3 linked regions of the Saccharomyces cerevisiae S288C genome follow. Changing the gene in region 2 together with the main gene of any one other region gives a genetic interaction. Each region holds a gene or a part of one and is shown on either strand. Other genes may lie near its edges. The genes, in order: CTF8, SLK19 and LTE1.

Evidence for each region.
Region 1: mutations in SLK19 (region 2) and CTF8 impair growth when combined (synthetic growth defect), as found in Saccharomyces cerevisiae (7 studies listed by BioGRID, with this or other methods).
Region 3: mutations in SLK19 (region 2) and LTE1 are lethal when combined (synthetic lethality), as found in Saccharomyces cerevisiae (8 studies listed by BioGRID, with this or other methods).

What each region holds. Positions count from the first base shown.
Region 1 is NC_001140.6:485,568-488,375, reverse strand, and holds CTF8 (Ctf8p), read left to right. Parts: upstream 1-1,744; coding exon 1,745-2,146; downstream 2,147-2,808. Other genes in the region: EGD2 (Egd2p), read left to right, coding at 140-664; LNP1 (Lnp1p), read right to left, coding at 714-1,550; ERG9 (bifunctional farnesyl-diphosphate farnesyltransferase/squalene synthase), read right to left, coding at 2,197-2,808. UniProt on the Saccharomyces cerevisiae protein: Essential for the fidelity of chromosome transmission. Required for the DNA replication block checkpoint.
Region 2 is NC_001147.6:710,814-714,575, forward strand, and holds the start of SLK19 (Slk19p), read left to right. Parts: upstream 1-2,052; coding exon 2,053-3,762. Other genes in the region: PEX27 (Pex27p), read left to right, coding at 1-763; TOA1 (transcription initiation factor IIA large subunit), read right to left, coding at 870-1,730. UniProt on the Saccharomyces cerevisiae protein: Has a role in spindle assembly and stability. Required to ensure a timely exit form mitosis. Essential to maintain pre-anaphase spindle polarity. Associates to the plus ends of the microtubules at the kinetochore and spindle midzone.
Region 3 is NC_001133.9:103,803-107,564, reverse strand, and holds the start of LTE1 (mitotic regulator LTE1), read left to right. Parts: upstream 1-1,692; coding exon 1,693-3,762. Other genes in the region: dolichyl-phosphate-mannose-protein mannosyltransferase PMT2, read left to right, coding at 1-1,293. UniProt on the Saccharomyces cerevisiae protein: GDP-GTP exchange factor for TEM1, a Ras-like protein, component of the mitotic exit network (MEN).

The sequences.
Region 1 (2,808 bases), on a different chromosome or scaffold from region 2:
TTTTGAAAATTTTTCATCGCCGAAGAAAAAAATGACAAAAAGTTGAATGAAAAGGATTATTTTAAACAAGAACTAAGGTAAAGTCTCCTTCTGGGAGCAACCCTTACAAGCAACCACACACCCACATACTCAATTGATAATGTCTGCTATCCCAGAAAACGCCAACGTTACCGTCTTAAACAAGAACGAAAAGAAAGCCAGAGAATTGATTGGCAAATTGGGTTTGAAGCAAATCCCAGGTATCATCAGAGTCACTTTCAGGAAGAAGGACAACCAAATCTATGCTATTGAAAAGCCAGAAGTCTTCAGATCTGCCGGTGGTAACTACGTTGTCTTCGGTGAAGCTAAGGTTGACAACTTTACCCAAAAGCTAGCCGCTGCTCAACAACAAGCTCAAGCTAGCGGTATTATGCCATCTAACGAAGACGTCGCTACCAAGTCCCCAGAAGACATCCAAGCTGACATGCAAGCCGCCGCAGAAGGCAGTGTCAACGCCGCAGCAGAAGAAGATGACGAAGAAGGTGAAGTTGATGCCGGTGACTTGAATAAGGATGATATCGAGTTAGTCGTTCAACAAACTAACGTTTCCAAAAACCAAGCCATCAAAGCCCTGAAAGCTCACAATGGTGACTTAGTCAACGCTATCATGTCCTTGTCTAAATAATGATATAAAAATATATTATATAGGGGTACGTAGTTATTCTAACGCAAAATCATTTTGTTTTTTCCTTCTCCGACTGCGAAGGCTGTGCCGGTTGTTTTGCTTCAATGGCGTCTTCTCTTTCCTTTACTTCGTCTATTTTGTGGTTACAGTGAGGACAGATAAAGATGATTGGCTTACTGGCCAATCTGTAGCAATTGGATTTCCAATGACACTGTGGACATATGATTTTTTTGAAGGGAGAGAGCGAACTTGTTGAGTCCAATTCATTACCGCCTGCCAGTACGCTGATGATTTTGTCGAACCATGCATCGCTGTCTTCCTTCTTTAGGCCCTTTACATGGCTTTCCTTCTTAAATTTTTCTAGCTCTGTCTTTAGATTGTTTAATTCTTGGTATTTAGCATTTAATTCATCATCTAGAAGTACCATGGCATCGTCGTTTTGATCTTCACCGGAAGAAAACCGTTGGATGATTGAGCTTGTAGCATTATAGTGGGTCTCTTCCTTTAACTTTTCCAGTTTCTTTTGATGAATTGCACGGAGTTTTGCCAACTTGCGTAACCTATTGTTGTTATAAAATGCATAGAGTTTGGTTAATGCCCATTTGAACAAGATTAGCGAGCCTATGCATAGTAGCGCAGTCACCACAAGGTATGGTCGATAACCATGGTACTCCCAATATGTGTAGCTCAGGGCCAATACCGTTAACGCAATACCATAAAAGGTCAGATTTGATTGCCATTGACTCAAGATGGATTGGCTTTTCTTTAACGCGACATCTAATTGATGGATCTGTGAAGTTATTTGTGATAAATCTGCGGTATACTTCGTCACAAAGTCCTTATCATTGCGAGAGCCTCGGACCCATTTACCTAATGCACTAAACATATTTATGTTATTCTTTTATATCCGATCTCCTCTTTGTATGATTTTTGTTTTCTTAAAATATACATGTCAACGTTAGCATCTTGAATTTCATTTTTCCTTTAATCTTTTTTAGTAAGCTAACCACTAATATAGCCAAAGGAGTGATAGAAAAAAGAATTATCACTATCATTCAGCCCAATAAACAGCTGAAAAGAATGCCTAGTGTAGATATAGATGCTAGTCAATGGCAGAAGTTGACACAGTCAAGAGAAAAGCAGACCACGGTGATAACACCGCTTGGGATGATGATGCTGGAGATTCAAGGTGAACTAGAGTTGCCTAAGGACTTTGCGTCGCTGGCGAGGAGAGATTCTCCAAATGAGGGAAGGTTCAGTGAACAGGACGGCGAAACTTTAATACGATTTGGGTCGTTACAGATTGACGGAGAGAGGGCCACATTGTTTGTCGGCAAGAAACAGCGTTTACTGGGGAAGGTGACAAAGCTAGACGTACCGATGGGTATAATGCATTTCAATTCGAAAGATAATAAGGTCGAATTAGTTGATGTAATGAAATATAAGGTTATCTTTAAGGATAGGCCTCTACCTATTATGTAAGTACTTAGTTATTGTTCGGAGTTGTTTGTTTATGTTATTTGGCGCAGACTTCACGCTCTGTGTAAAGTGTATATATAATAAAACCCAAGAAGAACGGACAAGATGATAGATAAAACCATATTGAACTTGTACTCTTCTTCTTGTTGGGTTGGAACCAATTCATCATCGTATCTGGATCTTTCTTTAACTTTCAAGAAAATTGGAGTTTCATTTGGCTTCACGTTAGGAGGTAATTTATCCTGGTACATTTCTTCCATAAACTGTTCGATCTTGGAGATTTGAATGTTCAATTTTAAGAAATTTGGATCTTGCACAGCCAATTTAGATTTGATATCACGTAAGTAATAGTCAAAAATCTCGACACAGCCACGCAAAGTCCTTGATTTCAAAATTAAATAGCAGGTAGTACCCTTACGAATCTTTACATTGCCATGTAGCACTTCACGGTTGTTGAATACCAAAGCCAAGGTTGCAATGGCCATAACTTGGGGAATGGCACAAAATTGGAAAGTGGATTGCTCGTGGATACCGGCCAAATAAGTCAACACATCGATAACATGACTCAATGCGTTTAAGACGAGGTGGTTTATACAGTCCAACCCCAGTTGTTCGTTTTCAGGTTTCATGAAGTCCTTCAACTGAGGAGCGTATTGTGACCAGAT
Region 2 (3,762 bases):
GAAAATACTACAACATACCCTAGGCCTATTAAGTTTATTGCTATTGACGAGAAAGATACGACTACTAAATTTTTCCTCAAAACTGCGATTGGTGATTCAACAATTGAGTTTATTTCGGTACTATTTGAGATTCGGAAACTTTGCGATCAATTTATATAAAATTATCAAAAGATTTCGCTGGTTGAGAGAAATGAAAAAACTACATTATAAAGATCAATCAATTTTATTTTATTTTAAAAATTTCCGGTTTTTCGACATTATTGAAGCTTTTTATAATTTGACAGATGAGTTGATACTGTTCCATAAGCTACAATCAATGTTTGGTAAAAAGAACACATCACATGCAAATACTAATAGACTAATGACATTCGTCAAAGAACAGCACTATATCTTATGGGAAGTTTTAAATATTCTTGCTATCAATAAAAACATTGAACAATGGCGACAGCTAATAAGAGATGAAATTTATTTAAGTATCTATAATACCAGTGGTAATGCAATAAAGGAATACGAGTTAAAGTACAAACTACCTACCAATGACAAAGTCAATTTGGAGTTACGGAAAAATAATATTACATTGGATTTTTATAAGATAATACTAAACTTATTGTCTAATCTAATTAATATTAAAGGTAAAAGGGACAAATATAACTCAGAGCTAGCTTACGAAATAATTTCAGTAGGTTCCGGTGTTACTGAACTCCTTAAGCTATGGAACCGAGCCAAAGTCACTTCGGCTAATGAACATACAAGCGCTGTTTGACAACAGATGACCAAGTTCGTTGCATCCCTCTTTATTTCGTTTTTTTAGTTTGATATTATAGTACTTGTATATATACATTTTTTCTTCTTTACGTCTAAAGATTTAGTTATACCCACTCCGCTTCCACTTGAGCTTTTTGGAATGTGTAGTCATTTCTATTGATGGTCACCACACCATCTTTCAGACTACATTTCCATCTCGCCTTTGTTCTTGTGACTTTATCATATAAGCACAGCATTAAGTTCTCATCTGGCCCATCCTCTTCACCCTCCGAAATTAGATAGTCATCGTCGGAATCATCTAGTTCTGAACCGACCTCATCCGTATCTAATAATGCACTTCTTTTTTCCTTCTTCGCTTGTAATTTTACTTGTTCTATCTGCTCCTTTTCCTTGCGGGTTTTTTCCACGTCCTCCTCCTTTTCCTCGTCGTCTTTCTTCTCACTTTCATCATCTATGTTTTCGACGGTAGTTATATTGGCATTATTAATAGTAAGTTCTATTTCCGGTTTTACTTCAATTTTAGGCTGGCTAGTTACGTCCGCATTTGTATTACCACTAGTATTTGTGTTCAAGGTAGCACCTGAATTATTAGTTGCTTCTACCGTATTCGTATTAATATTGGTCTCTCCAGAGTGCGGTATGTTGTTGTTGGAATTGATATTTGGCAAAATTAGACCTTCATTACCGGTATTCTCCTCCTTAATATTGAACTCGCTAGAATTTACGCCGGGGGTAGCAAGATTGAAATTTAAGTCGTTCTGTACACCATTGATATTTCCTTCATTGAACTGATTGTCCCATGAAAAAGTAGTTACCTTCGTCTCTGTGAGCTTTTTTTGCCAAATATTTTTTAGGTCTTGTAAAGTTTGTTCATCGATACCCGCATTTTCAAAGTCCTCTCTTACTTCATTTACCACAGACTCTACGATAATCTCGTACACTCTGCTGGCCTCTGCATTCGACATGATATCCAACGATGTCCCTTGTGTATGGCCTTGATTTGTGTGATACTATCGCTTTTCTTCTTTGAGCTTGCCCCCGATAATATGCCGTATGGCTTTATCCACCTTGTTATTTGGCTTCTTCATCTTTTCTTCAACTGTCTCACATCATACTTGACGAAGCTTTTTTTCGCGTTAATTTATATTCTTTATTTATTTATTTATAATTCAGAGTGTACGATGAGTTCCTCTTTAATGGTTCATTTGAAGGACACTAACTAAAAAGAGCATCATTGGTGTCAAGGGGCACCCAGTTAAAAAAGGTTTTGAGCACATATCGTAATTCATGAACGAAGTTCCTACCACTCCAGTTAGGCTTATTTTAGGGCAAGCTCAGCAACGCGAGCAGAATTCAGAAAACTGTTCGCAAGAACGTAACCCACGCACGTTTAATTCCGAACCGGATTCCAGCTTTAACTCTCCTGGTTCCTCCCAGTTCGTGATACATCCTCATGAACCGCTCGAGAAGGAGAAAGATGAGAAGCAGGATTTAGACCGCTCGATTGATTACGGTAGGTCATCAGCTCTTAACAACAAGAATAATGCCAATCCATTAGAGAATATAGACATAAATAAAATGTTTGATGACAAAAAATCAGATTCAGGTACCAATGATGATAAAGGAGGCGCAAGTACTAGTGATAAGCATGTCCTTGCATTGAATTATTCACCGATCAGAGTTGAAATGAACTCCTCAGAGAAACGAAGCGACAAAAACGTGGACGTAGATGAAAATGATAAAGAAGGTAGCCATATTAATAAAAAATTGAAATTGCAGTTAGAATCAGTACCTGATTTGAAACAAAGCTCTACTAAAGATATCATTAATGACAAAGAAGAAATTATGTCGTCTCCAATGGCGATTGATATGATTGAGACCAACATAAGCCCAAATAAATTCATAATAAACGACGGAGTTGAAAGAAACGATAGTTTCAATATCAATACCGACACACTTAAATTAGAAAATGATATAAATGAGAAACAACAAGAGGAAGACTTCATAAAATCTAACAGTAACAATGTGGTTAATATTGACAATGCTTATAAGGAAAAGGAGGACGAAGAAAATGATATAACAAATTCTCATATAAACAGGCTTACTCCTTTGTATGAGACTTCTGCAAGGGAGTCGAACTCAAATGAAGAGGGGAGGAATGACTACGATGATGACAACCAACTTGATATTAGACATGACAATTTTCAGATTGTAGCAAAAAGAAACGAGGAGCTCACTGATCAGATATATCACTTAAATCAAATGTTAAACTCTTTGATTTCCAAAAATGAATCATTGTCTTTTCAATACGAGAAATTGAACAAAAATCACCAACTACTAATAGATTTGACAAATGAAAAGTTAGATAAACTAAATACAGAAAGAGAGAGCGATATTGCCAAGGTGGAAAAATTCAAAAAGAGGATTAAGGAGTTGAATACAGAAATTAAGGTATTGAATTCCAACCAAAAAATATTACAAGAAAAATTCGATGCCTCAATTACTGAAGTAAATCATATAAAGGGCGAACATGAAAATACTGTCAACACTTTGCAGCAAAATGAGAAAATTTTAAATGATAAAAATGTAGAACTGGAAAATATGAAAGCAGAATTGAAAGGCAATAATGATAAATTATCCGAATATGAGACCACGTTAAATGACTTGAATTCTCGCATTGTGCAACTGAATGATAAGATTGAAAGCACAGATATTGTTTTGAAATCTAAAGAGAACGAACTAGATAATTTAAAATTGAGTTTGAAGGAAACTTTATCGATTTCTAAGGACTTCAACGACTCTGACCTTATAGGACAAATTAATGAGCTAATATCTACAAAAAACAACTTGCAACAAAAAATGGATGATTTGAATAACCTGAACGACGATAATTTGAAGGTAGTACAGGATAAATTAATTAAAAATGAGGAGACGCTAAAACTAAAAGAAGCTGAAATTGATTCATTGAATAGTGAAATGGACGAGCTAAAAAAACAG
Region 3 (3,762 bases), on a different chromosome or scaffold from region 2:
TTAGTGGGTTCTGACGTCGGACAAGGCCCCCGTGACATTGCTCTAGGTTCCTCCGTTGTTTCCATCAAAAACCAAGCTCTTGGAGGATCTCTATTGCACTCACATATACAAACTTATCCAGATGGGTCCAACCAACAACAAGTAACCTGTTATGGTTACAAAGATGCTAACAACGAATGGTTTTTCAACAGAGAAAGAGGCTTACCATCATGGTCAGAAAACGAAACTGACATCGAGTATTTGAAGCCAGGTACCTCCTATAGATTGGTACACAAAAGCACGGGCAGAAACTTGCACACCCACCCAGTTGCTGCACCAGTGTCAAAGACACAATGGGAGGTTTCTGGTTACGGTGACAATGTTGTTGGTGACAACAAAGACAATTGGGTTATTGAGATCATGGACCAAAGAGGAGATGAAGACCCTGAGAAGTTGCACACATTGACCACCTCTTTCCGTATCAAGAACTTGGAGATGGGCTGTTACTTGGCTCAAACCGGTAACAGTTTGCCCGAATGGGGTTTCAGACAACAAGAGGTTGTCTGCATGAAAAACCCATTCAAGAGGGACAAGAGGACCTGGTGGAACATCGAGACCCACGAAAATGAAAGGTTGCCACCAAGACCCGAAGATTTTCAATACCCAAAGACCAACTTCTTAAAAGACTTCATTCATTTAAATCTAGCCATGATGGCCACTAATAACGCTTTGGTGCCAGATCCAGACAAATTTGATTACTTAGCTTCCTCAGCATGGCAATGGCCAACTTTGAATGTGGGTTTGAGACTATGTGGCTGGGGTGATGATAATCCAAAATACTTCCTATTGGGTACCCCAGCTTCCACGTGGGCTTCTAGTGTTGCCGTCCTCGCATTCATGGCCACGGTCGTTATCTTACTGATCAGATGGCAAAGACAATATGTGGACCTAAGAAATCCATCTAACTGGAACGTTTTCTTAATGGGCGGGTTCTACCCACTACTAGCTTGGGGCCTACACTACATGCCATTCGTTATCATGTCTAGAGTCACCTACGTTCATCATTACTTGCCTGCCTTGTATTTTGCACTGATCATTTTGGCGTACTGTTTCGACGCCGGTTTGCAAAAATGGTCCAGATCTAAGTGCGGCCGTATCATGCGGTTCGTCCTATACGCCGGATTCATGGCACTTGTAATTGGTTGCTTCTGGTACTTCTCCCCAATATCATTTGGTATGGAGGGACCAAGTAGTAACTTCCGCTACTTAAACTGGTTTTCCACTTGGGACATTGCCGACAAGCAAGAAGCATGAATTAAGATCATCGTAGTAAGTACATAAGTAAAAAACAAGAATTAAATAAAATTTCTATATCAACCAGCAGAAGAAGTGGTCTATATAAACCACTATATAATGAATTTCGATAAACACTCTTTAATTGTTAACCAGGCTGTTCTCCTTACTCATCTTTGCGATCCGATGCTGTTTTATTACCCTTCTATTTTTTCCTTTCTGCATTTTGATTTTCGCGAATAATGAAATTCTTGATCTTTTTATCAACAATGAAAAAAAAACTGTAAACAGAAACTGATAATTTCTTGAACCCTTTAGCCCACCCCAACCGTACTCGTGTTATTCGCTCGTTGATTTACGCGAACCTTTTTGTTTGCTTTACATAGCCTCTAGCCATTCAAAGATTCGCTACCCTGAACCATGGAAATATTTAGCCAGAAAGATTACTACCCGACTCCATCCTCAAATGTTATTAGCTATGAAAGCGATTGTGTATCCAAACCAGTGAATAGTGCAGACCTGCCCGCGTTAATTGTACACCTTTCTTCCCCTTTGGAAGGTGTAGACTACAACGCATCTGCAGATTTTTTCCTTATTTATAGGAATTTTATAACGCCTCAAGACTTACACGACTTACTCATCTATAGATTTCGATGGTGTATTAGGGAGATCACAACAAATGCTGCAAAAGCTAAGAGAAGGCGAATTGGTGAAGTTGCCCTCGTGAGGACGTTTGTGTTGTTGAGGCATTCCATACTGAATTATTTTGTGCAAGATTTTTTACCGAACATAACATTAAGACTTCGGTTGATCGAGTTTCTAAACGACAAACACATTGAACAGTACCCAAAAATAATTTCCAGCTGTATAATCAATCTGAAAAAAAACTGGGTGCATTGTTCTAAGTTGGTTTGGGAGAATATTGAACTAAATGAACCTGATAAATTAGACTTTGATGCATGGCTGCATTATTCGTTAAAGGATTTCACGCAACTAGAAAGCCTACACAAAAGAGGAAGCCGACTGAGCATTTACGCCAGGCAAAGTTTTGCCAGTCCTGATTTTCGTAACCAAAGCGTTTTATCATTATATAAAACTTCTGATGTATTTAGACTGCCGGAGAAGCTACAGTCTTCAAATTCTTCCAAAAACCAGAGAAGCCCTTCTATGCTTTTATTTCCCGATAATACATCAAATGTTTACTCGAAGCACCGAATAGCGAAAGAACCTTCAGTTGATAATGAAAGCGAGGACATGTCAGATAGTAAACAAAAGATCAGCCACTTGTCAAAAGTCACTCTAGTATCCACACTAATGAAAGGCGTAGACTACCCGTCATCATATGCAGTCGATAAAATAATGCCTCCAACACCGGCTAAAAAAGTTGAATTTATTCTGAATTCCTTATATATTCCTGAAGATTTAAATGAACAAAGCGGAACGCTTCAAGGTACATCGACGACATCATCTCTAGATAACAATAGCAACAGTAATAGTAGATCTAATACATCTTCAATGTCTGTGTTACATCGCAGCGCTATTGGTCTTTTAGCTAAGTGGATGAAAAACCATAATCGCCATGATAGCAGTAATGATAAAAAATTTATGAGTGCTATTAAACCAGCAAACCAGAAACCTGAAATGGATGCGTTTGTCAAATACGTTGTATCAATATCATCTCTCAATAGAAAATCTTCCAAGGAAGAAGAGGAAGAGTTTCTTAACTCTGATTCTTCTAAATTTGACATCCTAAGTGCAAGAACCATAGATGAAGTGGAGTCCCTACTGCATTTACAAAACCAGCTGATAGAAAAAGTTCAAACACATTCGAATAACAACCGAGGTCCTACAGTTAATGTTGATTGTGAACGTCGGGAACACATACATGATATAAAGATTTTACAACAAAATAGCTTTAAACCGAGTAATGATAATTTTAGCGCTATGGACAATTTGGATCTGTATCAAACCGTAAGTTCAATTGCTCAGTCAGTCATCTCTTTAACTAATACTTTAAACAAGCAACTGCAGAACAATGAATCGAATATGCAGCCATCACCCTCGTATGATGCACTGCAACGAAGGAAAGTAAAAAGTCTCACGACAGCATATTACAATAAAATGCACGGTAGCTACTCAGCAGAAAGTATGAGGCTCTTTGATAAAGATAATAGTTCTTCACGTACAGACGAGAATGGACCTCAAAGATTGTTATTCCATGAAACTGATAAAACCAACTCAGAAGCGATTACAAATATGACACCAAGGAGGAAAAATCATTCCCAATCCCAAAAAAGCATGACTTCTTCGCCTCTGAAAAATGTTCTACCTGATCTTAAAGAATCGTCTCCCTTAAACGATAGTAGGGAAGACACAGAATCAATAACATACTCATACGATTCCGAGTTGTCATCCAGCTCTCCACCCAGAGATACTGTAACGAAAAAGTCAAGAAAAGTCAGAAACATCGTGAATAATACAGATAGTCCA